Ovis aries: one gene and its partners. The main gene of each other region encodes a partner of the protein of the gene in region 4 in a complex. Links are inferred from orthologs where the notes say so. Each region holds a gene or a part of one and is shown on either strand. Other genes may lie near its edges. The genes, in order: MED18, MED12, MED7, CCNC, CDK8, MED19 and MED1.

Region 1 (4,296 bases), on a different chromosome or scaffold from region 4:
ATAAATATGAGATGGCTATGTGAAGGGCTGGAACAAAGTATAGACGCCGGGGGATCAGAGGTAGCAAAGAGCTTGGGGAATCCAAAGAAATGAAAGTGTGGCTGAAGTATGGTAAGCAAGATGGAAGATGATCATGAAATGAGCATTTGGGATGGGCCAAAGCAGGCAGGACTTATGTGTCGCCCATGCTAAAGGCTGTATTTTATTGTACGGCCACTGGGCAGTTATTAGCTCCACACTTTATTCTCCATGCAACAAGGAAAGATATGACTGGATTTACATTTTAAAAAGATCATTCTAGGAAAATTGGTATGGATGCTTCAACCAGACAGGGTCACATGAAAAAAAGTGGCAATGAGGGGAGGCGGGTCCAAGTTAAAAAAGGCTTAAGAGACACGGTTTTCATATGTAATGCATGAGATGATATTATGCCCTGGATCAAAACACAAGATGGAGGAAACTTCTGAATATGAATTATATATTAGATGATATCAGAAATATACTATGACTCTTTCAGGTAATAATGATAGTATTGGGGTTATTAAGGAAAATACGCTTGCTTTTTTAGAGATGAATACTGAAAGTGTTTGGGGGTAAAATGTTACGAGATCTGAATCTGTCTTCAAAAACGGCAAAAGGAAAAAGATAGAGCAAATATGGCAAAAGGTCAGAAACAGACATCTAGATGACTAGATCTAGAAATCTAGGCTGACTGTTCACAGGAATTCCCTGGTCATCCAGTGGTTAGGACTTGGTGCTCCCAATGCAGGGGACCCAGGTTTCATCCCTGGTTCAGGAGCTAAGATCCTGCATGCCATGCTGCTGCTGCTGCTAAGTCGCTTCAGTTGTGCCCGACTCTGTGCAACCCCATAGACTCTATTTTCTTTTCTCTGAGATTGATTCCTGAATGCATGGCTTAAGCAACTGATGACTGACAGCGGCACTTACTGAGATGGGAAAGGCTGAAGTAGAGGCAGATTGAGGAGTGCAATTAACAATTTTATTTTGTCCATTGTAAGTTACTAAACGGATGATCTGAATTAAAGTCTAAATTCTTCCACTAAAGATTAAATGACCTCCAGAAAATCATAACCCTCCCTGGTCTTGAGCTTTCTCATCTGGGAAAGTTACTTCACTTCTATTTCCTGATCTAGAAGATGGAACTAATAACAGTATCATAACATTACCATATGATCTATTAATCTCACTTCTGGGCATTCACTCCTAAAGAATCCAAAGCAGGATCTTGAAGAGGTATGTGCACACTCATGTTCACTGAGTATTATCTATGATAACAATTTGGGTAGAAGCAATCCAAATGTCTGACAGACAAACGAATAAAGAAAATATGGTATGTACATACAGTGGAACATTATTCAGATTTTTAAAAGGAGATTCTCTTACATGCGAAAGGGTTAATGTTGAGGATATTATACTAAGTGAAATAAGCCAGTCATAAAAAGACACATACTGAATGCTTCCACTCCTATGAGGTTATCTAACGTTGTCAAAATTAGAAACATCAAGTAGAAAGGTTGTTGCCAAGGCCTACGGCAAGGGGAAAGGAGGAATTAGTGTTTAACAGGAATAGAATTTCAATTCTGCAAGATGAAAAAGTTCTAGAGATTAGCTATACAACAATGTGAAATACTTAACATTACTGAACTGTATGCTTAAAAATGTTTAATATGGTAAACTTAATGTTATGTATTTGTGACCATAATTAAAAGTAAATTGGGGAATAAAAGGGTGCCAGAAATTATGCAGGTAGCTTTTATATAACAGCCTCTCATCTCCATGGAAAGCGGAACAGAAAACAGGAAAACAGGTAATTCAAGCTCCCTAGTTCACTTACCCTGCAGCAGGTACTCCATCATGTTAATGGTGCCCCCGGTGACAGGCATCATGGTGACTGGAGGTGCCTCCATGTTTATCTGTTTAAGTTGAAAACGACAGAACTAGATTTGGAATCCCCAGTCAGGTAACACACAGGATACACCTGGGGAAGAGTTATACTTGTTAATACATGGGAGAGGCAGAGAGAGACCAGATCTGCTTGGGTCATTGGCCTGGAGATGAAAATTCATTCATCCACCCATTCAAAACTTTAGTAACTGCTATAGGCCAGTTTCAGGTGATCCAGAAATACACAAAGGAGGCCTGATCATGGAGTTACAGCATAATCTTTCAGTCTCAAGGTCTGAAACCCTTCAATGGTTTTCTGTGCACCCTGGGACTCAATGTCTTTCTTCTAAAATGAGGCCATGATATTAACCCCCAAGTCTTTGTGGCTCAGATGACATAATGGACCTGCAACTAAAGACTGAAAAGTGACTTAAGGACTCTTGTATGCCCTTCAATTTACAGATGAGGATGTTGAGGCTTGGGGAGGAGCCTAAGGACACACAATAGGTGGGTGGCAGAACCTATACCAGACTAAAATCTAGGCGTTCCACCTCTCTAAAAACCTTTTAAAGAGATTGAAGCGAAAGCACGAAGTTCTTTCCACTGATGCTTTGTGTTAGTCGTTCAGTCGTGTCCGACTCTTTGTGACCCCATCGACTTAGGCCTGGCTTCTCTATCCATGGGGCTTTCCAGGCAAGGATACTGGAGTGGGTTGCCATTTCCTTCTCCGGGGGAATCTTCCCAATTCAGGGATCAAACCCGGGTCTCCTGCATTGCAGGCGGATGCTTTACCGTCTGAGTTTACTAGGGAAGCCCCAATGATGCTTTAGGGCCTCCTAAACCCAGCATCAAAACGTGCCCACTTATACCAAAAACACACCGCCAAGCGCGTTCCAGCCTCTTCCAGGAAAGCGGGGGACCGTATTCACCCGAGCACCTCGGAGCTTTCGAGCAACAATCACCACCCCCAGCCCTAAACTTGAAAACCCCTAGGCAGTGCAACAATTCTCTCGCCTCTTCCCACGTCTGACAAAAACCTTTCGTCGCGCAAACCTCGACACCGCCACTCTGCGACGTAAGGGTGCCGAGAGGACAAAAAAAGTCTCTTCCGCTGTACGGCAAGCAGGGGCGCATGCGCAAACTCCGATGCTGCACGGAAGATGGCGGCCTCCTTAGGAGGGGTCCTTTGGGAGATTCAGGCGGCATTGCAGTCATACGCCATCTTCCAGGAAAATATTTTTTTCAACTGTGAAGACCTGGACGTGTTTTTGTCCAGGAAATCTCTTGGACCTGAAAGGACAAAGAGACCCTGGGGAAGAGAGCTTCAGAAAAAGAGGAGAGATTGTCGTAAAACAGAAACTTATTTTGGGTGGGTATCTGATGATAGAACTTCCCAGTTGCTCAGCGGTAATGAATCTGCCTGCAGGAGACACAGAAGCCTCTGGTTGGATCCCTGGGTCGGGAGGATCCCCTGGAGGAGGGCACGGCCGGAGGTTCACTCAGAACAGCTCCCGCTCCTAAGGAAGAGCTGCGCTTGGAGACTTTTGGTCCTCATCTGGCCCCTCCCTCCGGCCGGCGTGCGCGGCCCCGCGGGGCTGGGGTGGGGCCCACCTGCGCCTCCTGGGGGGCGTGCAACCCGCCTCAGTGGGACTCAGTCTCCTAACCACCGCCGCCGCCACACCTTACATCAGTTTGGCTTCTGATGTTTTCATTTCCCTTGCTGAGGTGCTGCTTCTGGGTTAAAGTCATCTTATTGCCTGTCCATTTGTAGACAGGACAAGGTCGCTCGAATAGATCAGGAGTCGAGCTCAGAGTGGGCTTCCCTGGTGGCTCAGATGGTAAAGCGTCTGATCCCCTGGAGAAGGAAATGGCAACCCACTCCAGTACTTTTGCCTGGAAAATTCCATGGCCGGAGGAGCCTGGCAGGCTACAGTCTATGGGATCGCAAAGAGTCGGACACGACTGAGCAACTTCACTCACTCCGGCTCAGAGTAGGTCAAAAGTACACACATGTTGGGAGGAGTGGGAATCAAAACAGAAGGAGGGTTGCCAAGTACAGCCAGGACTAGGTGTTCACCATGTATGCTTAATAAAGGCCAGAATCTCATCTGTCTCTGGTGGGAGGGTCTGTTGGTTTCACTGGATCGAATTCAACCGATCCGAACCAGTTTCATGGAATAAAACACTGGACTTCGGTGGCCACTGTTCCCATCAAGAAAGGATGGTCGCGTTTGGAAGTAAACATGTTGGAGAGCTGTAAACACCACAAACCTAAATACAGGTCACAAGGCTGAAACTGGGTCTAATCAGACCTGAAACCAAGGAAAAGAATTCGGCTTTTCCAGCTGGCTCTCCTATGAACTTTTGATGGTTTACTGCAGCTGGATTACA
Region 2 (3,142 bases), on a different chromosome or scaffold from region 4:
TCCGGCTCTTGTGACCCCATGGACAGTAGCCTGCCAAGCTCTTCTGTCCATGGGATTCTCTAGGCAGGAATACTAGAGTGGGTTGCCATTTCCTTCTCCAGGGGATCTTCCCAAGCCAGGAATCAAACCCAGCTCCCCTGCATTGGCAGGCAGATTCTTCACCAACTGAGCTATAAGGGAAGCCCATCTTCTCCACGAGACCTGTGTTAATCTCAACATGCCCAAATCATCACATCATTTTCCTGATCAAGAGCACTTTCTGGGATTGTGTCTCAACCCCGTGCCAAGCATTCCAAGCTCTCTCTCAACCTATCCACTCCCAGCCTATCCCTACTCTTTCCCTGTCATGAATCTTAAACTCCAGCCAAGCTCTTCTCCTGCCTGTCCTCCCAGCCACCCTACACGTCTTTGTTAATGCTACGTCCTCTACCTGGGATCCCCCTCCTTTTCCTCCTCCCCACAAATCCAAGCCACAGCTATCCTTCAAAGGCCAACTCAAGTCTGACCTCCTTCATGAAACTTTCTCTGATGACTCAGGCCCACAATGATATCATCCCCCACTTTTCCTGAATTCCCATTTTATTTCACAGCACCCAACTGCACAGCTGCTTGTATCTTTCATTACCACGTTCTCTAAGCACTCTTCTGAATAAGTCTCTTCTTCCCAGCTAGAGTAAAAGTTCTGTGTGGTGAAGGACTTTGGATTTTTTTTCAAATAGCTTTCCTCACCCTACCTGGTCCTAGCATAGTGCTGGCCACAGAGTCGGCACTTAATCAGTACCTCTAAGTTAGGGACTTTTCTTCTGGTCCACCCGGCAGTGTTCTCAACCCTAAGCTGCAGAACCTCAAGACATGATTACAATGTCTTAAGTAAGGCCTAACTGACATTCAGTAAGGTGGGAGGATGTGTTTGCTGGTCCATTCCAGCACTAAGCTGCTCTAATGGTAGCTAGATGACTCCTTCCCATACACTGCATCTATGAACTCCAGGTCTTTCCTTCTCACAAGCATATAAGTGATGTATCCTCTTTGGTTCTCAAAGAAACGTTGGGAAGCAGGCATGAGAGTACTGGCCACCAGTGCCCCTTCCAGCTCTGGCATTTTGTGTTGACAGGCCAGGTATGTGCTCTTGATGCCTCCAAAAGTTCTGACCAGTCTCACCACATCCAGGCCCAGGTTTTCCCAAATCAAAAGCCTCAGTGTCTCCGCCATCCCTGGCTCATTTGGGTACCTTTGAGTGGAGGTCAGCCCATGTCCATAGGTTGGGGCCTGCTGGTGCACATAGCCACTGGGCCGCTGCTGCAGGTGGCGAGTAGGATCTACAAGAGTAGGATTGGTAGAAGGGTGGGTGCTCTGGTAAGGCTGGCTGGAGTAGCTGGGGGGCACCATGGTACCTGCAGGGCCTGTGTGTTGCTGCAATCCCACATGAGAAACATAAGAAGTATAGCCCTGGAGGGGAGGAGGAGAGAGGATGTCAGAGCCAGGGGTGTGCAGACCAGCCTGCCTGGAGCTCCCCAAGTCTCCCCATCTTGCGCCCTTACCTGGGAGGTCTGCAAACCGTACGAAGAACTGGGAGTCATCTGATGGACAGATGACTGTCCCAACATCCCTTGACTCTGTTAGAGGGGAAAAAGGAAACAAACTCAAACTCTGGAAATGCTTTCTGTCACCTCGTTTCTTGCATCTCCCACTCTGCATGTCCTTGTGAAGACCCCAAATTCCTGTGACCTTCAAAAGCCCCTCTCCCTGACGGCCCTCCCTACGGCCCCTCTCACTATCTTTGCCTGGAGCTGTTGGCGAAGGCGCTGTCCTTGGGGCACTGCAGGCTGCTGCTGTCGGTACACAGACGTCTTGTAGGAGGCAGGTTCCAGTCCCATGACACCAGTCATGGTCGTGGGCAGCACTCCGGGGTAAGGTGGGCGGGTAGGCAGCTTCTGCATTGGTAACCGCACGGGGCGGTATGGATCCACGCGGGGGCCACCTGGAAAGGGGAGCCAGCTGACCTCTTTAGGCTCTTTGTCCCTCTGTCCCCTGCTCAGCACCCTGCGCATCCATAGCTCCTGGGAGAAGTAGCATCGCCCTTCAGATGGGAGGAATATTCGGGTCAGTCCCTTGCACCCAGTGGCTGGTACTCACCTGCTGGCAGTGGCTGGTTCTGGGTGTAGAGGCCTATGGAGCTCTGCCTATAGCTAAGGTGGGAGATGGAGCCAGGGTTGGCATGGTGCAGGAGGTCTGGAGGTACTGTCACTCCGTAGGGGCCACTTCGGCCTGGGCCCATTCCATAGTCCTGTGTGAATGGCAAGGGAGGAAGGTGAGAGGGCTGGGGTCAAGTGGGAAAGGAGGGCAGAACAGGAGGTGGAGCTACGTGGCTCATTGTTTTAATTCTAAAAGTACTCCTTCCTCAAATGCCCCTAGCCCTCCCACAACCAGGATCAGGAAGAGAGTGGGGCTGGGAAAGACGTGCACAGGGACGGCATGCAAGGGGATGGCAGCAGGGGTGCTCACTTCTGTCTTGACGGCAGGCTGGCTGCGCTTCTTGCCCTTGGTGGACTTCTTCTTGCGTTCCTCAGTGCTGGGTGGAGCAGCTCCAGGTTTGTCAGTTTTGGGGGGCTCTGGAGCCTTTTTTTCAGGCTCTAGCAGGGTGGGGGCAGGGGGTTCCTCATCTTCTGGAGGCAGTGGCAGTGGCTCCAGGTAGTAGGCGCGGGGCCGGGGCCTCAGGTGTGTGTGGTACAGCAGCAGTCGCTGCTGCTCCTCTCCACGGGCCACGCGCCGGTCCACCCGGACTGTTCCAAACCAGCCCCAAGACAGTGGCGCTGATGGCTTCAAGCCCTCAAAAAGATCCCAGGGAGAGATCTTTTGTTTGGTGGAAACCTGAAGACCCTGCTCCAGAAAATGAGAAATAGTGAGCTGCTGAAACTTGGAAAATACAACACAGACCTTGAAGGCTTGCAGGAGAGGGAAAAGTATCTGTTGGCAACAAAAGAAAAAAAAAGTTCATGGGTAGATTCAGGGAAGACGGCGAGAGGAAGACAGACAGACATGGATATACACACAGGGGAGGGAGAATGAAGAGGGGACTGTAGGGAGCAGAGGGAGACAGAGACAGACACCAACAGTCAGAGGAAGACAGAGAAGCAGGAAG
Region 3 (4,342 bases), on a different chromosome or scaffold from region 4:
ACAGGTATAGAGATCAGACTTGTGGACACAGTGGGGGAAGCACAGGGAGGGACAAACTGAGATAACAGCATGGAAACATGTACATTATAATATGTAAATGTACCATATAGATAGCAAGTGAGAATCTGATGTGTGACACAAGGAGCTCAACCTAGCGACAACCTACAGGGGTGGGATGGGGTAGGAGATGGGAGGGGAGTTCAGGAGGGAGGGGATTTATGTATACCTGTGGCTGATTCATGATATATTCATGATTCATGATTCTGATATATGGCAGAAGTCAACACAATACTGTAAAGCAATTATCTTCCAATTAAAAAAAGAAAAAAAAGGCAAAAAATCCCCACATATATGTAAAATAGCTAATGAGAAGTTGCTGTATAACATGGGGAGCTCAAATCTGGTACTCTGTGACAACCTACAAGTGTGAAATGGAGTGGGGGTCGGGGGGAAGGTTCAAGGGAAAGTTGACATATGTATACTTATGGCTGATTCACAGTTGCCAATTAAGCGATTATCCTTCAATTAAAAATAAATTCTAAAAAAGGATCCTATCCATATAAGACTATCAAGATTTCAAATACTCCATCACTTAACAAACAACACTTTCTATGTGGCAGGTGCTGGATTCCAGCACAGATCACACTCTACCTTTCAGCTTCTTCAGAGTGGTCATGCCAATTTTACAAGCAAGCTCTTAGCTAATCTGGCCCTGCAGGGAAGTCTTCTGCAGTGGAAAACATCCGTTGCCCTGAGGTCCCACTAAACACCATCACAGCCACCATAACACTCTAAGGTGGCAAGCCAGTATCACCAAGAGAATATGGGGAATTCTCATACACAACTGATAGGAAACAAATATGCTTACTTGGAATTAATGTGACAGTATCAAACACTGTAATGCTGATTTCTTTGACCCAACAATCCTTTTTATTATTTTATATTGAAGTATAGCTGATTAACAACACTGTTGCTGTTGTTCAGTTGCTAAGTTGTGTCCAGCTCTTTGCGACCCCATGAACTGCAGCACCTCAGGCCTCCCTGTCCCTATCTCCCAGAGTTTGCTCAAATTCATTTCCACTGAATCAGTGATGCTATCTAATCATCTCATCTTCTGCCTCCCCCTTCTCCTCTTGCCCTCAATCTTTCCCAACATCAAGGTCTTTTCCAATAAGTCAGCTCTTTGCATCAGGTAGCCAAAGTATTGGAGCTTCAGCATCAGTCCTTCCAATGAGTATTTATTGTTGATTTCCTTTAGGACTGACTGGTGACCCAACAATTCTATTTCTAGAAATTTATCCTACAAAAATATTGGTAGAAGTACACAAATCTGTGTATCAGGATATTTAATGCAGCACTGTTTGAAAAGAGCAGGAAAAGCTGGAAATAACCCATACCTTCATCCATACCTTCACCCATATGAGGCCTTGGATAAAATGTCTATATATACACAATATGGCCACTAAGAAAAAAAGGGGTGAAAGTACATGGAATGGAGGGTTATAAATACTGTGTACTGGTTCATTTATTTACAACACACTTATGATAGTTGCAAATAGTTATAACCAATGTTTTAAAACTTTCAAAAATTCAGACTTTTCAGTCTATGAATAATATTCCATATTCTTCAGATTCTTCAAATGTTAACATTTTCCCTCATCTGCCTTATTGGTCTCTCATCTCTTTATCTAAAATACTTCAGTGGGTAGACCCAAATAAGAATGTCCTCTTAGAACCACATAATTAACAAAATCAGAGAATTAGCAATCATCTGGTACTTCAAAATAAATTTCATACAGCCTAGGTTTCACCCCTTCAAGCCTTTTCAGATTGGAATTCCTGTTTTGTGCTTCCCAGAACCTTGTGTAATCCTCTACTTAAACTGCCAATCCCCAAAGGGCAACTAAATGACAGGTATCATTGTTTTATATTCTCTTTTACTTAAGCTTCAAACTAATTCTATGAGTTACTACTACTATCAATTTCATTTTAGAGATGAGGGTCCCAAGTCTGTCTCACCAAGAAGTATCTGTAACCAGATCAAACGGCCAGGAAATGGCATAGCAGGAACTCTCAACCTTGCCTGTTATGGTTGCACAGCACAAGCTCCTTTAAATCAGTAAACAATGAAGCATCTTAGAGTACAAATGGAAACTGACATACAACAGAAATCATGTTTGTTTATACCACTTCTCCAGACTAAACTTGTCAAAGGCAATGGAGGTTTTTCCTAAGACATGCGTCAAGCATCAAAGCTGATTATCAGACTCAAGATCATCTTCTAGTGTTTGTTCCGTTCTGACGGATTTAACCCAAAAAAGAAAGGTATTGTAGGGTCTTATCTCCAGACGTTCGACTCGTTTATCTACTGTAAACGGAGCTGCTGGAATGTAGCTTTAAAACCTCCCCAGAAGATCTAATGAATGACGCCTGGGACCTACCTCCTTCCCCGTCTCCCATTAAATCTTTTGATTTCAGGAATGCTCCCTGAGGAAGAAGGGCGAGACTGGTTAGGGACAAGGCCAGAGAGAGGCCAGAAGACGTGGCGAGGCCACACAGCTCGGTAAACCAGCGGAGCGGGTCTAGAACTCAGGTGTGCCAACCTCCGGCCGGGCTCGGCCTCCCCCCGGAGGCGGCCTAGAGCCCGCCGCGCAGAGGGTACCTTCCCACGAGAGGCCAACTACCCCCACCCACCCCTGACCCCGGCTTCGCGAGCTGCGGGGAAGGTCGCGCTCTCTGAGGAACGCCGGAGAGGAAGGCGGACGAACGTACTCAGCACCAGGCCTCCCCGGACTCCCAGCCCTCCCAAAGGAAGCAGCGGGGTCCGGAAAAAGAAATGTACGAGGAACTGAGGCCCAAGCCGTCGCCGCCCACTTACTTCAGCTCTGGGCTTACACTAGCAGCCGCCTTCTCCACCTCAAGCCGAAATCCAACTTCCGGCCTCCACTTCCAGGAAGAAGCCACTGATACTGTCCTTTGATTGGCTGGAAAGAGCTGTCCTTTAACCGAGGCTCTAGTCCCGCCTCTGTGACGGTTGGCTCACCGTTTCGCGGGCGCATACTCCCTCTCCCCAGCCACCCCTTTCCTCCTACCTTCCCTCTGGCACCTCCCACCCTTCCGTGATTCTGCAGCAGCCACAGGGTTTGGGGTCGCGAAGAATGTGTTACTATTAAAAGTAGCTATTCTTTGCTTTCTTTTTCTATTTTCCTGAATATTCGCTGGAAGGACCAATGCTGAAGCTGGAGCTCCAATACTTTTTCCACCTGATGTGAAGAACTGACTCATTGGAAAAGAGCCTGATACTGGGAAAGATTGAAGGCAGGAGAAGAGGGTAACAGAGGAGGAGATGGTTGCATGACATCACCGACTCAAAGGACATGAGTTTGAGCAAGCTCCTGGAGTTGGTGAAGGACAGGAAGGTCTGGCGTGTTGCAGTCCATGGGGTCGCAAAGAGTCAGACACGACAGCTATTTAATATTGTGAAAATCAAGTCAGTATTTGGATACCAATTATCTGAGGATCCAGTAAAGTCCACCCCTTTGTGACTGTCTGTATCAGTCTGATACTGGATGTATCTATTAATCATCTTTTAATCTGTAGTTTCTTTCCTCTACCTCATTCTCCCCCACCCACAATCAATTTATTTGTTGAAGAAGTTTGTTCACTTTTGAGCATACCCCAGTCAGGCTTTTCTCCATTGAGACCAATGTTACATAAATTGTGACCTCCAGTGGGCATTCTTTAGTCCTCATCTTGGTCTACTTTCAGCAGCATTTGGCACACTTGATCATTTGAATTGCCCCCGGACTGAGTTCTCCTCTTAATGTCATCCAGGTGATAATACTCAAGTGGTATCTAGATCCTGGCAACACCCTGTCCCTTGCACTCAGACCCTCTTAACCAACAGTATTACACATCTTTATTCGACTGCAAAGTCTCCAACATAACAGTTCATCTTCACTCCTCTTTCTCCCATACTCTATTCAAAATTAAGGTATCAGTCTTTTGTATTAGTTCTATGTGGAAATAAGTAAAAGTTCAAAATATTAATTTTCACCATCCGCACTGCCTCCATCCTCATCCATGCCACCATAATCTTCCCCTGACTTCTGAAATAACCCCCTAAATGTCAATAGTTTCCTTGCTTCCACTTTTGTCCTTCCTTAGCCTATTTAAGAGTTGGACATGACTTAGCGACTGAACTGCAACAACAACAAAGCCTATTTTATCATACTGTCTTAAAATATGACTGATCTGGCCACTCTTAAAGTTCTCCAAGGCTTCACATTCATAATAAAATCTAATGTCCTTACCATGGCCTATAGGAAATGCTACAAAAATC
Region 4 (4,231 bases):
TGTTACCATGGCCTCAAGAGAACCAGAAAACTTTTCATGTGAATTGGAACAACTTTAATGGCAGATGGTCTTGAAAGTGGGTAAAAATTTACCTATGAAATAATGTGGGCCTGGAGCAATTTTTAAAGAAGTAGCTCTCTGATAACTTTGTTCTGGCTTTAAAATTTACTTTGAAAATGAAGATAACCCAAAGGTACATCTGTGATTACTTACTTTTCTCCTACCTAATTTTGTATTCCTACATCACCGACTGGATGGACATGAGTTTGAGCAAGCTCCAGGAGTTGGTTATGGACAGAGAACCCTAGCAGCGCTACAGTCCATGGGGTCACAAAGAGTCAGACACGACTGAGGGACTGAACTGACCATTCCTTTTCCCCTATATTCAGTAGCATAGTTTAGTCTACTGTTTTGGTTTTCCCTTCCAAAGAGGCAGCTCTTATAATTTGACGGTTTTTTTCCTTTTCAGTATCAGTGTTACCTTTATTATGCCTGTTTTTCTTAGGTTTATTTCACTGTTTCCTTTTTAATATTCTGAAGTAAAATATATAATTTTTATTCTTTTTCAGTTATTCAAGATGTTAACTTTCTTATAAATTTGGCTTTGGCCACATCCCAAAGATATGAATACATATTAATCTCATTATACTATTTCCTAGATAATATGTAAGTGTATTTTAAATGCTCTCTTTGCTACAGTAAAGCATCCAGAGTTGGTTTTGTAGTTTTAGTTTTTGTCACCTGTTCATTATTTCAGTCAACCAGCAAATGTCTAGTGTCCTTCTAGTTTTACTGCATCATGGTCAAAGAATGTATTGTGTTCTACTTAACTTCCTGAAAAATACTACCAGTGTCTCTGTTTCAAAATCATCCATTTCTTCTCCACAGTTATTTCAAATATTTAAAAAGATAAATTCCACAAACAACTGTTTTTCTTCACAGCACACAGCATGGAAGACAAACCAGTTAACGCCACATATTCTCAAATTTAAAATTACACATGATTGTAAGATTCACCATTATTTCCTATGTTACTGAAGGAAACAAAAACTGCCATGCTGATAACAGCAATGTTATCCATTTTTTAACTGCTGCTAGCAGCAGTTAATGTTAAAGGGCGATTTTAAGCCATGAAAAATCATATCAATCTTCCTCTTTCACCAAAATCACCTAAAACAATGGCTTTCATCATCTTTTTGTTTTTCCTGAATTGCTTGTCTTGTCTTTCATATTTGTTACCTTTTGCAGATCAGGGACTCCATGATTCCCAAGGGATCTGAGTAAGATAAAGTGGCCCCTTCCTCCAGGACTATTTGATTAGGAAGGCAAGGACAGTTTTAAAAACAGCACATTTAATTTTATATTTGAAAAGTGAAAAAATAATTGATTTTATAAAATACATCCTGGCCCCTTTTTAATAAGCCAACAGTAAATGAAAGCATAATGAGAAGACTTATCAAAGGGTCAAACTTCTTTTTTTTAAGTTGAAAAAGGCCTGTAACTTCTGATAATCAACAACTGGCTCCCTGTCAATTTTTTCAGCTTCTTTCAAAGTTAACCAGAATACTACTACTTCACTACAGAAATTTTCCATATTTTAATTTTGCCCAAGCAAATATTTCAGTCAGTGAATACAGTGCAAATTAAATATGATCGGAAGTAAAGCTTCTATAGCCATTCATCTCCACAGAACCACTTACAGCAAGAAAACCTGCTTTTCTGAAAATAGGTTTTAAAGCCCATTGTTTCGTTTTTTCTAGTGCAAACGGCTAAAATACCAATTGAATAATATAGGAATCCATCCTCACACTCAAAATTTACTTATGCTCTCTTCGCATGAAAAAGTATTTACACTAAGGTATCATCAAGTTCTGTGTCTTTCAACTATACACTGTACAGCCTACCCAAAGTTCAATTAGTCCCATCACCATCGTCCTATCTGCTTACACAAATGTATTTAGGGAGAAATGCTTTCAATATTACTCTAGTTCTTCCACGGTACAGACGTCAACAAAAACTTATTCTGGAAAACACGTTAAAGATATTGGTAAAGTCTCTAGAAAATACACTTTTAAAACAAAACATGAGACACAGACTAACGAAATGGACAAATGTTGAGAGCAATTGATCTATAACTTACAAACATAAAAACCATATAGGCTTAAAGACAGTGGCAGAATGCGGTTCATGAGCAGAAACAAGCCTGACTCCCTCCTTTCCTTGGAGTAACAATCCACTCAACACAGAAGAATGATAAACGATTACTGATGCCAACCTACTTTACAAATATCAGGCGAGATCGAACCACAACTGTCCTGAGAAGCCAGCCTCACAGTTCTGAACTGTCACACTTCCCATACCTGTGTCCATCCCATATCCCAACCCTCGCCAGCCCCGCCTCTCCCCTGCCCCCAACCTCGGCCTAGCTAAACCAAAAATCAGAAGCTAAAACTCTCGAACCTTCCTCCTCCGGAGACGCAATCCCTCTTACCCTCCCCCGCCAAGAAATTCTCTACCACTCCAAAACCCGGCCAACGGGGCGCGGTGAGGAGAGTCGCCGAAGAAAAAGCACATCCCGCCTCCGGCCGCCGCCTCCCTGGAGCCTCCGCGGCGCTCCGGACAGGGGCCGAGATCCAGGCCAAAAGGAGTCGCAGGCCCCGTACACCCAGCACCTCCAAGAGCCAGGCCCGGAGAAAACGGAAGATCACTTACTAGTGGGAGCTCTGCCAAAAGTTCCCTGCCATGGAACACAGCTTGGCCTGATAAAAAAGCACCAGCCGGCGGAGCGGAGCGCGGAGCGACCATAGACCCAACCCTCCCGGTCACCGCGCTCCTTGATCTGATGGACTCGGCTCCGCTCCGCGGCGGCGACGGTGAGAGGAAGATAGCACCCTATTCTTCTTGACGCCGGCCGGCAACACTCTGCTGTACAAACCAGTTCCTACGCATGGAAGTTCCGGCCCGCCCCGCGGTAGCGGAGGAAAGAGGCGGGGAGGAGATAGCCCTTGCGCACACTGAAAAAGGAGTCGGGAACTGACTCTCACGAAGTCTCGCGGCAGTTGGGAGAGTATCGCGAGAGGTTTTCGTCATTTCCGGCCTAGAGCCCGCGCGGCTCGTGCGTCTGTGGGAGCTAGGATTCACGGAGAAGGGGTGGGATGGGGAAACCGTCCCTTGTTCGGGTTAACTTTACTCCCATCTTACAGGCTTCCAAAGCAGCACAGTGGCTTTGTATTAAACTATACGACTTCCTGACTTCTGTTCTTTCTCCTGTGTTTGGAAAGAGAAATAAAGTTAATTTTGGCTTCAAAGGGCTTCCCTTGTGGCTCAGCTGGTAACGGATCCAGCCGCAATGCGGGAGACCTGGGTTCGATCCCTGTGTTTGGAAGATCCCCTGGAGAAGGGAAAGGCTACCCACTCCAGTATTCTGGCCTGGAGAATTCTATGGACTGTATAATCCATGGGATCGCAAACAGTCGGACACGACTGAGCGACTTTGACACTTTCACTTGGCCTCAAAACCTAACAAGCCGAATAGGTTCTTAATGGAGTTCTTTTGGATTGAAGTGACTGCGAAACAATGCAAAAAGAGATTACGACAAATTACTAGAAGCTAGGAGATTCAGGTCCCTTCCTTCTGTGAACTTTCAGGCAGTTTACCAGAATGCCACATAGAAATACTTCCTGTGTACAACCTGGTTTCTGCTTCCTACCCAGAACTCCAGCGTCTAAATGCCCAGCATCCCTCAGTTTTCTCAGTGGCCCTGCAAGTCAGGAGCATCAGCTTAGGCTTCATTAGTTCAAAGGTAAATCATCTTTGAGGGACCCCATAAATGTAGGTTTAATTGAATTGGCTTGAACCAAAAACTAGTTTCCACTGTTTCCCCATCTATTTCCCATGAAGTGATGGGACCAGATGCCATGATCTTCGTTTTCTGAATGTTGAGCTTTAAGCCAACTTTTTCGCTCTTCTCTTTCACTTTCATCAAGAGGCTTTTTAGTTCCTCTTCACTTTCTGCCATAAGGGTGATGTCATCTGTATATCTGAGGTTATTGATATTTCTCCTGGCAATCTTGATTCCAGCTTATGCTTCTTCCAGCCCAGCGTTTCTCATGATGTACTCTGCATATAAGTTAAATAAGCAAGGTGACAATATACAGCCTTGACGTACTCCTTTCCCTATTTGGAACCAGTCTGTTGTTCCATGTCCAATTCTAGCTGTTGCTTCCTGAC
Region 5 (3,634 bases), on a different chromosome or scaffold from region 4:
AGACGCAAGCTTCCAGAAAGTAACAAATATGCAAAGAAATGAACTGACTTTTTTCCTCATAGCCAAATCAGCTGCTGATATTAGATATTCACCTTCTTGTATCACCATTCAAACATCTTAAGAAATGAAGACTACCACAATGCAAAAACATTTATTAGAGTAAATAAGTAAAATTATTTAACAGACTAGTCTTCTGTCAACTATTCTATCATGCTGAGTATTCAATCTTATCCTGAGTATTCTAGAAAAGCAAAAATCAACAGTCTATTTTCTTGCCAACTTACGTATTTCTTCTGAAATCTTTCATTAATGTTGAATGTTCAGGCATCTTTTTTATATCTTCCCAATCTTTATCTGTGAAACACATTGATACAATTTTATATTGTCTAGGTTCCTATTATTAAGAACTTTAATAAAGGTGACTTCACTTCTCATTACATGTCCTACATTTTAACCTCCCTGAAAGCACAGACTTCGAATAAATGGTGAGCTGCAATAAACATCTTTAACTGTAAATGCATTCTCCATATGCTGTTTTTAAATGTCTATTTTCTCTATGTTTTACTATAAGTTATCTCAGTTTTTATACTAAGACACCAACAAGTTATAAACAAATATTTCCATTATTAAATACTTTTATTTTTATCTGTAAAACCACTTTTGTCCCACCATGTCTTGGTTAATCCAGCAACCAATCTTTTCAACAATAAATGCAGTATCTTCCCCCTCAGCAGCTGTAAGCTGTCCTTTTTATACGGCCCTCCTTACGCTCCCCTTATTAAATACACTGCTTTACATGGTAATCAAGGTAAGCAGTTACAGCTGTCTGAAACACAGAGTCGGATGTACTAGCATATGAACAAGTCAGCTAGTATCTGGGCTAGTTTCAATAATAATAACAAAAGCAATCCCAGCTACCAGACCCATCAGGTGGAAACATCTTGGTCAGTTTTGCTGACATTAGAGTTACTCAAACACCACACGCGGTTTGAGAAGCTTGCTGTGTCCATTGGAGGAGTTACTGAGAGTCCACAGGTGCCCACATTCTCTACCAGGTAGCTTCATGGCACCTCAGCTTTTAAATGACCTCCAGAGGTTAGCTTCTCTCTCAACTGGCTTATAAAAATATCTGCTATCTAGCCTCCAGATACCACATATTGTAAACTAAATACATACTTTAAACTCCTAAGAGGAATTTTCTCCTTGACTACTTCCTTGTTCCAATTTCTTTATTTCTGTCAATTTCTCAAGTAGAAATCCTAAGATAATCTTTTATTTTTTTCTCCCAATTACAGGCTTACTCTAAAAAATTATACCATTATCCTTTCTTCTCCATCCAAATCACTTTACACGTGGAGTACTGCTGCAGGTAAAAGATGGTTTCCTGACTTCAGTTACCCCTCTTAAATTTTTACATACCCCTGCCATAGAAACCATTCTAAAGTAGAACACAAATCACAGCACTAGTTCTCAAGAACTTATCACAGATTCTCCTTCTTTAGCACATCAAATCTAAATTCTATTGCTTGGTTTTCAGATTCCCTATAAGCAGATCCCAAACGTGGAACCACGCCCTAAGAACCATTTCAGAACCATCTCCTGTGGAGGCCACCCCTCCTCCAAGGCCCTGTAAGTCAGGCTCCTTCCCCGGGGGACCCCTGAATTGATGAGTGCATTCAGAAGTGGGAAGAAAAGGTCATTCTTCTCCATCTACTCAAACTACTCCTATTCTTTCAACATTCTACTTAGAGCAGCTGAGTGTCAACTCCAAGAGGGCAAGAATCACGTCTGTTATATCAACAATATTTTACACTTAACACAGTGCCTGAAACATGGCAGGTGCTCAATAAATCTTTAGTGAATAAATGAAACTCCCATCTCAACAAAGCAATCTTTGTAGAAATGTTGGTCAATTCTGGACAAAGGTAGCTACTTTGCACTTACTGATAATTAAAGGGAATGTGAAATTATAACTCCCAGATATTTCTGTATTAGTTTTGAGCCACTGATCTGAGAAAAATTCCTAATAAGAAACAACGTATTGTTTCTTATTATTATTTCAATAAGTTATTGATATTTTAAATTATTAACATATTTATTAATAATAAACTTATTGTTTATCATTTCAATAAGAAGTACTTGACTAGCCAAAACTATGCAGGCGTTTCAAATGGAGAGTAATGGACTTCTGTTCTGCGGCACAAGGACTGGGCTGGGGCTGGAGCTCTAAAGCCCGTGACGAAATGCCCCAACCACCACCTCCCAGCGGCAGTCAGAGCAGGCTCACTTGCTGTGCAGGGCTGGGCCTTCACTCACATCCTGCCTGTTCTAACTGGAAAGGATGTTCTTACTGACAAGGGTTATAGAGCAAAAAATGCTACGATTCAATACAATGTGTTTCAAGTAGAAACAGTCTTCAAAATCTGTATTCAAATACCAAACAATGACATTATTATTAAGTGCTATCAGACAAAAAGACATGCTCCTGAATTCTATTCAGTTGCCAATGGTGAGAGCTAAAGGCACTTTTTAAACACAGATATTGCAAATATTTTATCATTTTAAATATTAAACAAAACAAAACCAAAAACCAAAATGAAACAAAAATACACTCCTCAAATTCAAGAAACCCATAAATATTTTTATGCTAATATGTGAACTCTACAAATTTTGCTATTTCTAAGGGTCTTTGATTAATGCAAGTCGTAAATATAAAGAACTGAGTAAGAGTAGCTTTCATCAGCTAAAAATACACATCCTTTCAATGAAGACATCTAAGTTCAAACAACAGTGATTTAAAAACAAAAACAAAAATATAATGTGTACCTGCAGGAAATCCCATTACATTGAATATTCTGTCCAGCTGGTCATGGTGATAAGGATTACTAGTTTTGATGTCCTCTTGTCGACAGTGAAATATTGGTTCTGACGTTAGTAGTTCTGCAAATATACACCCTATAGCCCAAATATCTTTAAAACAAAAACAAACAAAAAAAAAGAGAAAAGAAAAAAAAAAAAAAGAAAGGAAAAAAGAAAAAGAAAGGAGGAAAATAAAGTGGTTCTTTCCAAAAGAAAATGCATCTTTATCTTGGCAGGGAGTGTTTTTTCATTCTTTTTCTCCCCTAATAAGTCATATTAAATCCTAAGCAATTATAAATATAAAAAATGTTGTTTGTAAATATATATTCCCACCCCATCCACCCGTATTTCATTCCTTGTTATACCTCCATCCCACCCAGTGGTTTCATTCCAAGTTCAATCAAATTTATTATCTAAAATTTTTGGTGAGTTTAAGTGCTTCAAACATTACCTTATCTGTGAAATACATACAAAGCTGCACACAGGGCACAGGAACCATAAATAAATAAAACTAAACAAACAAACAAAAAAAAACAGAAAACCCAAACAGCCTTGGAAATTGGGCATACTTGCTGAAAACAATCAGCACCGTTTTTTGAGGTAAAAAACATTTTTTATTTTTTATCTAGTTTATGGACTTATTAGCTTGTAAAGTTTAATAATTATCCTCCTGTGTTAGCACTAGTTAGCAAGGTGCTGTTCCAACAGGAAAAAGATGACGCCTGACCTCAAATATTCTAACAAAATAGCATTTCTCCTGAAAGGACTTTCTGTT
Region 6 (4,372 bases), on a different chromosome or scaffold from region 4:
CAAATTCCTTCAACTTGCATTTGTCGTTGAAGGTATAAACATCCTACTGAAACATCACTAGCTGGAATCAAGATTGCTGGGATAAAGAGCAACAACCTCAGATAGATGACACCACTCTAATAGCAGAAAGTGAAGAGGAACTTTGGAGCCTCTTGATGAGGGTGAAAGAGAGTGGAAAAGTTGGCTTAAAACTCAACATTCAGAAAACTAAGATCATGGCATCAGGTCCCATCACTTCATGGCAAATAAAAGGCGAAAAAGTGGTGGCAGTGACAGACTCTATTTTCTTGGGCTCCAAAATCACTGCAGACAGTGACTGCAGCCATGGGATTAAAAGATGCTTACTTCTTGAATGGAAAGCTATGATAAACCTAGACAGCATTTTAAAAAAGTAGAGACATCATTTTGCCGATAAAGGTCCATACAGTCAAAGCTATGGACGTGGGATGAACTGAAAGATGTCCCTGAGACTAACATGTATGTCTAAAATGACTCCCGGTTTCCACCTCCTCAAACTTGTTCTTGCCTGACCTCAGCACTACCATCAATCCTGTTATTCAAGCCAAAAATTCGAAATCACCCTCAATTCCTCTCTCCTCCACTTCTATATTCAATCCTTCATTCCTGTCAGTTCTACCTCTAACATTTATCCTGCATCCATTTACTTCTTTCCTCCATTGCTATCGCCTAGTCTAAACCACCTCTTTCCTGGACCACTAAGCAGTAACATTATTGAAAGGGGGATTTTTGTAGAAACTAACGCAATAATTAATTCAGCTATTTCACTACCACTTTGCATTATTACATTCAATAGTTACAGCTGACACACCTGTAAAGTCTTCTCCAGCACCATGAGTTTCATTTTCACTTTCCGTATCAGAAAACAATCACTAAGGTTTTCTGTCTCTTTGTTGGTCTAATAGTCACATCATCTGAATCAGAACTACATTCGGAACAACTATCATCTGCTGCTGCTGCTGCTAAGTCGCTTCAGTCGTGTCCGACTCTGTGCGACCCCATACACGGCAGCCCACCAGGCTCCCCCGTCCCTGGGATTCTCCAGGCAAGAACACTGGAGTGGGTTGCCATTTCCTTCTCCGATGCATGAAAGTGAAAGTGAAGTCACGCGGTAGTGTCCGACTCTTAGCGACCCCGTGGGCTGCAGCACTAGGTGCTGCTCGGACAATAAGAGAAAGTATCTGCATAAAATTCACTGAAAAAATTTTCTTCATTCAAAACTGCATGGTGTGTCACTTTTTAAAATTTTATGAAAATAAACTTGTGTTTATAAGGTACACAAGGTTGGAATAAAAACCTAACAGAGCAAAATGTGAATGATAATGTCAATGATAAGCTGTATGATGAATCCTTGATCAATTTTAAGCTTTAACAACTTCCCACGGTGATGTTAATGGTTTCACTCTCTAAAAAAGGTATTGACATGTTTCTGGTCAATAATATGTTAAAATCTAAATGTCTAACACAGGCCTCTGCCTACACTCTCACTTTATCTATCACTCCTCTGTTCACTTCACTGGAGTCCAGCTGATCTTCTGTTCCTCAAACATTACAAGATTTTTCTCACATTGGGGCTGTTGATTTCATTTTTTTTGTATCCAGTTATTCCTTCTCCCACTCATAAATGGCTAGCTCTTTCTCTGCGCTTACATTTTAACTCTAAAGTAACCTACTCAGAAAGAGCTTCTCTGATCACTCTAGCTAAAGCAGTTCAGCTCCCTTAAATCTTATCACATTTTTTTTTCCTACAGCCGTAACTGCTTTGTGATTTCACCCTGTTACCTTTTGCCTCCTCCATGGGCACGTAAATTCCCAAACAGGCAAGGATCTTGTCAGCCTTATTCACAGTTGTATCTTCAGTGTACAATAACCCCTGGTACATAAAATAGGTGCTCAACGAAATAAGTTTTTGAATGAAAGAGTCTGGTCCAATTCTATTCACTTGTTCCAACAGATGAGGAAAGGCCCAGGCCCAGAGAAAAAAGAAAGGCAACAAACCAACAGGAAGTCGGAAGCAGATTTGGAACTAGGTCCGCAAGGATGTTAAATAAGGACTCTCAAATTCCAAACTTGAACCCTGGGTGCTTTTTCAGTTAGCCACTCAGTCGTGTCCGACTCTGCGACCCCATCGACTGTAGCCCTCCAGGCTCTTCCGTCCACGGAATTTTCCAAGCAGGGATACTGCAGTGGGTAGCCTTTCCCTTCTCCAGGGTTCTTCCCACCTGAGGGCTCAAACCCAGGTCTGCCGCATTGCAGGCGGATTCTTCACCGTCTGAACCTCCAGGGAGTAACTTTTAGGGAATCATAAAACCACCATCAGCTTCAGAGACAGGGCGGAGCGTGAAAGGCGGCCACAGAGACCCATTCTTCTCATTCCCAGTCCATCCTGAGGATTCCTGTCGTGCCTTTGGCCTTGAATTCGCAGTCGTTTCCGACACGGAGCTCCGAAATCCCCGCACGCGCCGCCCGGGCTTCCCCTCACCTCCCTCGGCATCTAGGAGCCACGCCCAGCCCCACCTCGCGGCGATCTGATTGGCCGGCTTCGGCCGGGCCTCGGACTCACCTGGCAGCTCCCTCATTAGGTAGAAGGGGCCGCAGCCTGCCGCCGACTTGTCGCTCCCGGGAGGGGCCGAAGCGGCGGTCGGGGGCGGGGCCGGGCCGGGCCCCCCGCCCGGAGGCGGTGGCGGCGGGGGGGGCGGCTTTCCGGGTCCGAAGCCGAGTGCCGCTGGGGGAGGTGGCGGGTCAGCCTGGGCCCCGAACAGCGCCGTGAAATTCTCCATCGTCCCCTCTGCCCCGGCGCCGTCCCGGTGTCTGGCGTTAATGATTCTCATTGGTTAATCTTTTCACGGGGTACCGCCCTTTTCCTCCAGGAGTCGTTTACCATTGGACTGCCTCTGGCCCTGCCTACCTTCTTCCGGCAACGACTTCCGTCGCCTTCTGAGAACGTTCAGGAAATACTCCTTAACATTATTAAATTTTCCGAGGCCTCCGCTCGCAGCAATCGCTTAACCAATGAAATGACTTAGGTAGTAAAAGCGACAGCTAGGTTAGCCAATAGCATATCAAATCCCTCTCTCACCTCCCTTACCTGCCGTAGAGGGCCAATCAGAGATCTAGCTCCGGGTCTAGAGGCGGGCCATCTGACACTTGGCCCAATGGAAACCTTCAATGGTGAGAGAGGCGGGACCAGACCTACGGAAGCCGAAGAGAGCGGCCGGTGCCTCAGGGGGCCGAGAAGATGGCGGTCCTAGCGCCTTTGATTGCTCTCGTGTATTCAGTCCCGCGACTTTCACGATGGCTGGCTCGACCTTACTACTTTTTGTCAGCCCTGCTCTCTGCTGCCTTCCTACTCGTCAGGAAGCTGCCCCCTGTCTGCGAAAGTCTCCCCACGCAACGCGAAGACGGCAACCCGTGTGACTTTGACTGGGTGAGCGACCCTCCTCGGGACCCCACGACCTTGACTGTCCCCGCCCTGGTGGTCGCAGCCGGGAGCCCCGAGGGACCGTTTTGAGAACGCCTCAGGTTCCGGGCCTCTTAGCGGACTTGACAGACTGCTAAGAGTGTAGGGCGTGGATTGTTACCGAGCCTAACCCTCCTCTTGTTTAGGGTGAGAAAGCAGCCGGTTAGCTCGCCCAGCAGTCTCAGCCTTCTGCCTTTTGAGGCCAAGCTCCTTCCCACCTCCCAATCCATGCTCGACCAGAGTCTTCCCCAGACTGGGCCCTCGCACTCTCTTCCAGTGTTGCTCGTTAATAAAGAACCAGTGAGTTGTACAAGGCGAGTAGTATTTGTAGTATTCTCGTTTTATTGATGAAGAAACGGATCTTGGCGTAGTTAGGAGACTCGTCCAAGGTCACACAACTAGTGAGCGACGAGGATTTGCAGCCACTCTTTAGCCACGGTAACAGCACACAGCCATTTCTTAAAATCAAGTTAACAGTCTCTCAGGGCGGACTGTGTGCTGGGCTGTGTGCCGCATACTGGGGATGTAAAAATAAATAAAATTGTTAGGCCTATGGAAATGGAATTGTAAAAAAAAAAAAAAAGAAAAAAACGCTGTAAAGAAATCTGTCTCAAGCCTCTTGGAGTTCTCCCTGAACTGGAATGGAGGGACCACTCAGAAAAATAACTTGAGGGGCTTCCCTGGTGGTCCAGGGGTTAAGACTGCACTGCCTTTGCAGGGGGCCTGGGTTCCATCCCTGGTCAGGGAACTAAGATTCTGCATGCTTTAAGGGGAAAAAAAAATGTAAAATAAGTTGAAGCTCTCGCCCTCTACTGAATAGCCACATACATGTTCTGAGGAAAGACAGTCACCTGAGTTTTTGTCTTTTTTTCCCAAAGCCCCAAATGAGTCTTA
Region 7 (3,634 bases), on a different chromosome or scaffold from region 4:
TATAAAACCAAGATGAAATTTTAAGCAGTAATCTTTCAACTAAAAATTAGGTTTTTTTCTAAAGCAAAATAGCATCACATACCCCCACTTCTTGGAGTGAGATAGCCAACACTTCCATGAAGAATCTTATCCAAGGGACCAGCATTGGTTGCTTTCCTGCAAGACAAATGATCTATGTTTATTTACATTTAAGCCCTGAAGATATTAGTATACAATGTGATAATGAGTTCAGCCCTTACACATCTTTTAATTCTATCCTAATGACTTTATCTTGGGCATTTAACAATTATATTTCACCCTCAAGGTGAAGGGATTATTTCTGAGAATACACCAGTGTATAATATGGTGAACAAAAATTACAACTATACTATTTATCAGAAGGGAGGCCAGGTTTCACAAGTCTTCTTATAAAACCTATGGAATACCAACCAACAACTTAGGGATACTGATATTCAGAAAATGAAATGCAATCATTTGGGAAGTGAAAGGATATGGACAAGATGTACAGTACAGGTAAAATACAGATGCATAGTAACATACATCTATAATACATATTTTTTAAATAACAGAAGCCTAGTAAACCATAGACAAAACAACTTTAAGAACAAGGTCAAAGAGAACTGATACTTTAGCCAGTCTTACCAGTACATAACTGCCATTTTAGATAGATCTTGTTCTAAGGATTGGAGAGCCAAGTACATTTTAGTCTTCAATTTGCTAGAAAGTAAACAGAACAAGAATTAGTTAACAAATATACATAAACACAAACAGTGAAAGCCTAGAGAGCAAATCTACCTTGGAGGCAACTTAGATCTTTAAAAAAAAAAAAAATTTTTTTTTTAAATCATTAGTGATCTACCAAAACTAATTTTTATCTCTACTTAAAAGACCAAGCAAGTAAGCAGAATCCCAGGTAGGTTAAAAATATAAAACCAGTCCCACGACAATTTCTTTCAGCCTAGAAATCAATATGCTGAAGATACCTCAAGGATTATACCTTGCTACCTTCTAGCACTATAATCATTAATCCAGATACTGTTTATTTAAAATACCTTTAAAAGACATTAAGTTAGAAGCTAAGTTATAGACTGTCAGTATGAATAGAAATCAGAAATGAGCTAGGGCAGAAGACTTGGCAAATTTCTAAGAACAAAATGATTTATAGATTTATACTAATTTTTCAAACAAAAGCAAAAATACTTACTTGTCCCCTGGAAGGTTATAAAGATTAACAAGACCCTTAAGGTGCTTAGAAAATTCATCAAAATTTTTTTCCCTGTGAGATGTTCAGGGAAGAGGAGAGAGGGAAGAGAATAAAACATACAATTACTACTCAATCTTCTCAGCAAAGTCCCCAAAATCAAGGCTATATAAAACTAATCTTAATAATTTGCTTTAATTCCCCCCCCCATAAGTTTTCTAGAATCGGTCAAAAGTTGCAAAAGAAAATACAATATTCTCCTTTCTCTGCTCCATTTTTTGGGAGAAGGTGCTAATAAACAGTATAAAAGATAGTCAAAAAGACCTGTTACCTCACATACTAATTTGTTCTTAAGTAATGAGACTTAGTTTAAATCACTTCCCCTCTTAATTTGTAACTGAGATGACTGGATGTCATGAGGAAAAAAAAATCTTTTAGAGAGAAAAAGGAAGTAAATAAATTAGGAAGATAGGACACTTTCATGTATACAATAAGAGCAGAGAAAGGAAATGAACAGTGGAAGAGAGATGGGAGACCTAAGCAAAGGCAGAATAGGTAGTGTGGAGGCAAATGATATATTTTAAAATGTTCCTATAACAAATTACCCCAGGAAAAAGAAACTAGTACCAGGAATTCTGGCATCCTAAAACCTAACATTCAGAGGTGGATTCTTAGTCAAATAAGCTTTTATAGGCAGGAATCCAACACAACTCAACAATTCTAAGTCTCTATATCCTTTTTCAAACTTAAAAAAAAAATGTCTGTTGAAAACTGTACTGCTCTGACAATGTCAGATACTTGATCAGGCATTTATTGAATACTTATTGCCCAAAGTGCCATGAAGACACTAAAAAGAAACAAGAGCAACAGCGAAATATATTCCTTACCTTAAAATCATCATCTATACAGAGTGATTAAAAATACCTGGTAAAGACTAATATTCTTTCTAAGGTTCCCACTTCCAAACATGCTTACAAATTAACTTTAGAACACCATCAGTTCATAAACTGGTACAGTCTCCTATTCTACATTAGAACCAGAAATACTGGTTTCCTGGACTATTCTGATAATACATCTTTGCCAGACTTATTGAGTAAATGAAATCATAAAAGGTTATTTCTTATGTTGCATTGCAATTTTTCAAAGCTCATTCAAATCTGGTGTATTTGGCTGTAAGGACATTAAAGTGATCACTGGAAAGCTGAGTGTAAAACTTATTTCTCAATGTTAAACCCTTAAGACTCCTCCGTATCTGATAACTTCACTATATTTAAAACATAAAATTGATGTAACAACTTTCTCAAATTTCCAGAGTTAATTCTGGGTTTAAATTTAAGCATGGAAATCTCCACTCAATTAAAGGAGAAAAGATAAGCCAATGACAAAAAAACATCAATTACTAAAAGAGACTGTCTTCAAGCCTAGCACTTTACTATGATTTGGGACCCATAAACCTTAAATATAAAACAATTTTTCTCAAAGTGAAAAAAAGTTCTTTCCATAGTATAGACTCAATTTTCTCAAGCTTTCTCTAATTCAATAATTAGGTTCTGTTTATTTTGTTCCACAGAGAATTCCTAAGGTTAACTCAGTAGTTCTCAACCAGGAGTGATTTTGTCCTCCAAAGGACGTCTGACAATATCTGGAGATATTTTTGATTATCATAGATAATCAAAGTCACAGATCAGGAGGTTATCATAGATCCTAACTAGCTGGGAGAAACCAGGGATGCTGTTTAACATCCAAGAATGAACTGGGCAACCCCCTAGAGCAAAGAATCTCCCAACCCAAAATGGCAATACTGTCAAGGTTGGGAAATCCTAGGACAGATGCAATAGAGTGTTAAAAAAAAAAAAAGCTAAGTCAATTCTAAAAGTGATCAAGTACAGACTTTGAAAAATCTTGACCCAAGAAAATAAAGTTGTTCCTTAGAAAAGTAAATTCTGACCATTCTCAAAATGTAACTATAAAGAACAGCACTGTCTGCCAATAAAAGGGAATGTAAATGTCAGCTGCTCACCTTAGCTGCTGTACAAGCTCTGGACAGCTCTGAAATTAAAGAAATTATGTTAAAACTCTAAACTACTTTAAGATGCTTGAAGACATCAAAAGTTTTTTTCTTTTTTATTAATAACACATGCTTTATAACAGAAACATTAAAACTATAGAAGGTCCTTATATTAAGATATCAAAGACATCTTCTTCCTACTTGGTAAACCATGGGGTTGGGTCAGGAAATTAAAAATCAAATATATTGAAATAGTTTATAAAGGAATCAACTTTCAGTTGCTTGTTTAAAACATTAGGACCTCTCTTTAAAGCCATCCTTGGAATTCATATCCAATTGTCTGGTTATACACCTTTTACATTCCTGTCTATTACAGGGCTTTTCAGAGACATTAGCTATATACAAGATTATCTGTCCTTCTTGAT

The links.
Region 1: CCNC (region 4) and MED18 share a complex: the UniProt entries of both Homo sapiens proteins name them as parts of the mediator complex. The link is inferred for Ovis aries from reciprocal best matches to the Homo sapiens genes CCNC and MED18.
Region 2: the proteins of CCNC (region 4) and MED12 are in contact, whole or in part, in a cryo-EM structure (PDB 8TQC), measured with the Homo sapiens proteins. The link is inferred for Ovis aries from reciprocal best matches to the Homo sapiens genes CCNC and MED12. Residues at the interface, in NP_005181.2 of Homo sapiens: Gly3, Asn4, Phe5, Trp6, Gln7, Tyr11, Ile15, Asp17, Gln19, Asp20, Lys23, Gln49, Glu53, Leu57, Arg58, Gln59, Ile62, Tyr153, Arg157, Pro158, Gln161, Tyr162, Asp165, Leu173, Pro174, Trp177, Arg178, Ile179, Asn181, Asp182; in NP_005111.2 of Homo sapiens: Ile6, Leu7, Ser8, Tyr9, Glu10, Pro13, Leu14, Lys15, Arg18, Leu19, Pro22, Asp23, Val24, Tyr25, Asn47, Pro49, Ala50, Val51, Asp54, Glu55, His56, Gly57, Ser58, Ala59, Lys60, Phe64, Pro66, Ile69, Asn72, Phe73.
Region 3: CCNC (region 4) and MED7 share a complex: the UniProt entries of both Homo sapiens proteins name them as parts of the mediator complex. The link is inferred for Ovis aries from reciprocal best matches to the Homo sapiens genes CCNC and MED7.
Region 5: the proteins of CCNC (region 4) and CDK8 are in contact, whole or in part, in a crystal structure (PDB 5CEI), measured with the Homo sapiens proteins. The link is inferred for Ovis aries from reciprocal best matches to the Homo sapiens genes CCNC and CDK8. Residues at the interface, in NP_005181.2 of Homo sapiens: Met1, Ala2, Gly3, Asn4, Ser8, Ser9, His10, Gln13, Phe72, Tyr76, Lys79, Ser80, Ile81, Asp82, Leu85, Leu93, Lys96, Val97, Glu98, Glu99, Phe100, Gly101, Val102, Tyr130, His134, Leu136, Glu137, Glu139, Phe140, Tyr141; in NP_001251.1 of Homo sapiens: Met1, Asp2, Tyr3, Asp4, Phe5, Lys6, Leu9, Arg13, Gly58, Ile59, Ser60, Met61, Cys64, Arg65, Ile67, Ala68, Leu69, Arg71, Glu72, Leu73, Val84, Leu86, Ser87, His88, Arg91, Lys92, Val93, Asn145, Trp146, Val147.
Region 6: CCNC (region 4) and MED19 share a complex: the UniProt entries of both Homo sapiens proteins name them as parts of the mediator complex. The link is inferred for Ovis aries from reciprocal best matches to the Homo sapiens genes CCNC and MED19.
Region 7: CCNC (region 4) and MED1 share a complex: the UniProt entries of both Homo sapiens proteins name them as parts of the mediator complex. The link is inferred for Ovis aries from reciprocal best matches to the Homo sapiens genes CCNC and MED1.

What each region holds. Positions count from the first base shown.
Region 1 is NC_056055.1:238,803,628-238,807,923, forward strand, and holds the start of MED18 (mediator of RNA polymerase II transcription subunit 18), read right to left. Parts: upstream 2,934-4,296; 5' UTR 2,786-2,933; exon of another isoform or gene 2,775-2,785; intron 2,000-2,774; exon of another isoform or gene 1,935-1,999; 5' UTR 1,929-1,934; coding exon 1,856-1,928; intron 1-1,855. UniProt on the Homo sapiens protein: Component of the Mediator complex, a coactivator involved in the regulated transcription of nearly all RNA polymerase II-dependent genes.
Region 2 is NC_056080.1:63,847,738-63,850,879, reverse strand, and holds part of MED12 (mediator of RNA polymerase II transcription subunit 12), read right to left. Parts: intron 2,968-3,142; coding exon 2,506-2,967; intron 2,288-2,505; coding exon 2,137-2,287; intron 1,982-2,136; coding exon 1,776-1,981; intron 1,617-1,775; coding exon 1,542-1,616; intron 1,450-1,541; coding exon 1,232-1,449; intron 1-1,231. UniProt on the Homo sapiens protein: Component of the Mediator complex, a coactivator involved in the regulated transcription of nearly all RNA polymerase II-dependent genes.
Region 3 is NC_056058.1:66,400,616-66,404,957, forward strand, and holds the start of MED7 (mediator of RNA polymerase II transcription subunit 7), read right to left. Parts: upstream 2,932-4,342; 5' UTR 2,879-2,931; intron 2,488-2,878; 5' UTR 2,442-2,487; intron 1-2,441. UniProt on the Homo sapiens protein: Component of the Mediator complex, a coactivator involved in the regulated transcription of nearly all RNA polymerase II-dependent genes.
Region 4 is NC_056061.1:37,531,238-37,535,468, reverse strand, and holds the start of CCNC (cyclin-C), read right to left. Parts: upstream 2,873-4,231; 5' UTR 2,745-2,872; coding exon 2,713-2,744; intron 1-2,712. UniProt on the Homo sapiens protein: Component of the Mediator complex, a coactivator involved in regulated gene transcription of nearly all RNA polymerase II-dependent genes.
Region 5 is NC_056063.1:33,370,241-33,373,874, forward strand, and holds part of CDK8 (cyclin-dependent kinase 8), read right to left. Parts: intron 2,971-3,634; coding exon 2,827-2,970; intron 355-2,826; coding exon 285-354; intron 1-284.
Region 6 is NC_056068.1:79,750,214-79,754,585, forward strand, and holds the start of MED19 (mediator of RNA polymerase II transcription subunit 19), read right to left. Parts: upstream 2,832-4,372; 5' UTR 2,799-2,831; coding exon 2,582-2,798; intron 2,524-2,581; exon of another isoform or gene 1,901-2,523; coding exon of another isoform or gene 1,801-1,900; intron 1-1,800. Other genes in the region: TMX2 (thioredoxin-related transmembrane protein 2), read left to right, coding at 3,257-3,445. UniProt on the Homo sapiens protein: Component of the Mediator complex, a coactivator involved in the regulated transcription of nearly all RNA polymerase II-dependent genes.
Region 7 is NC_056064.1:39,599,741-39,603,374, forward strand, and holds part of MED1 (mediator of RNA polymerase II transcription subunit 1), read right to left. Parts: intron 3,251-3,634; coding exon 3,222-3,250; intron 1,277-3,221; coding exon 1,205-1,276; intron 718-1,204; coding exon 643-717; intron 157-642; coding exon 83-156; intron 1-82. UniProt on the Homo sapiens protein: Component of the Mediator complex, a coactivator involved in the regulated transcription of nearly all RNA polymerase II-dependent genes.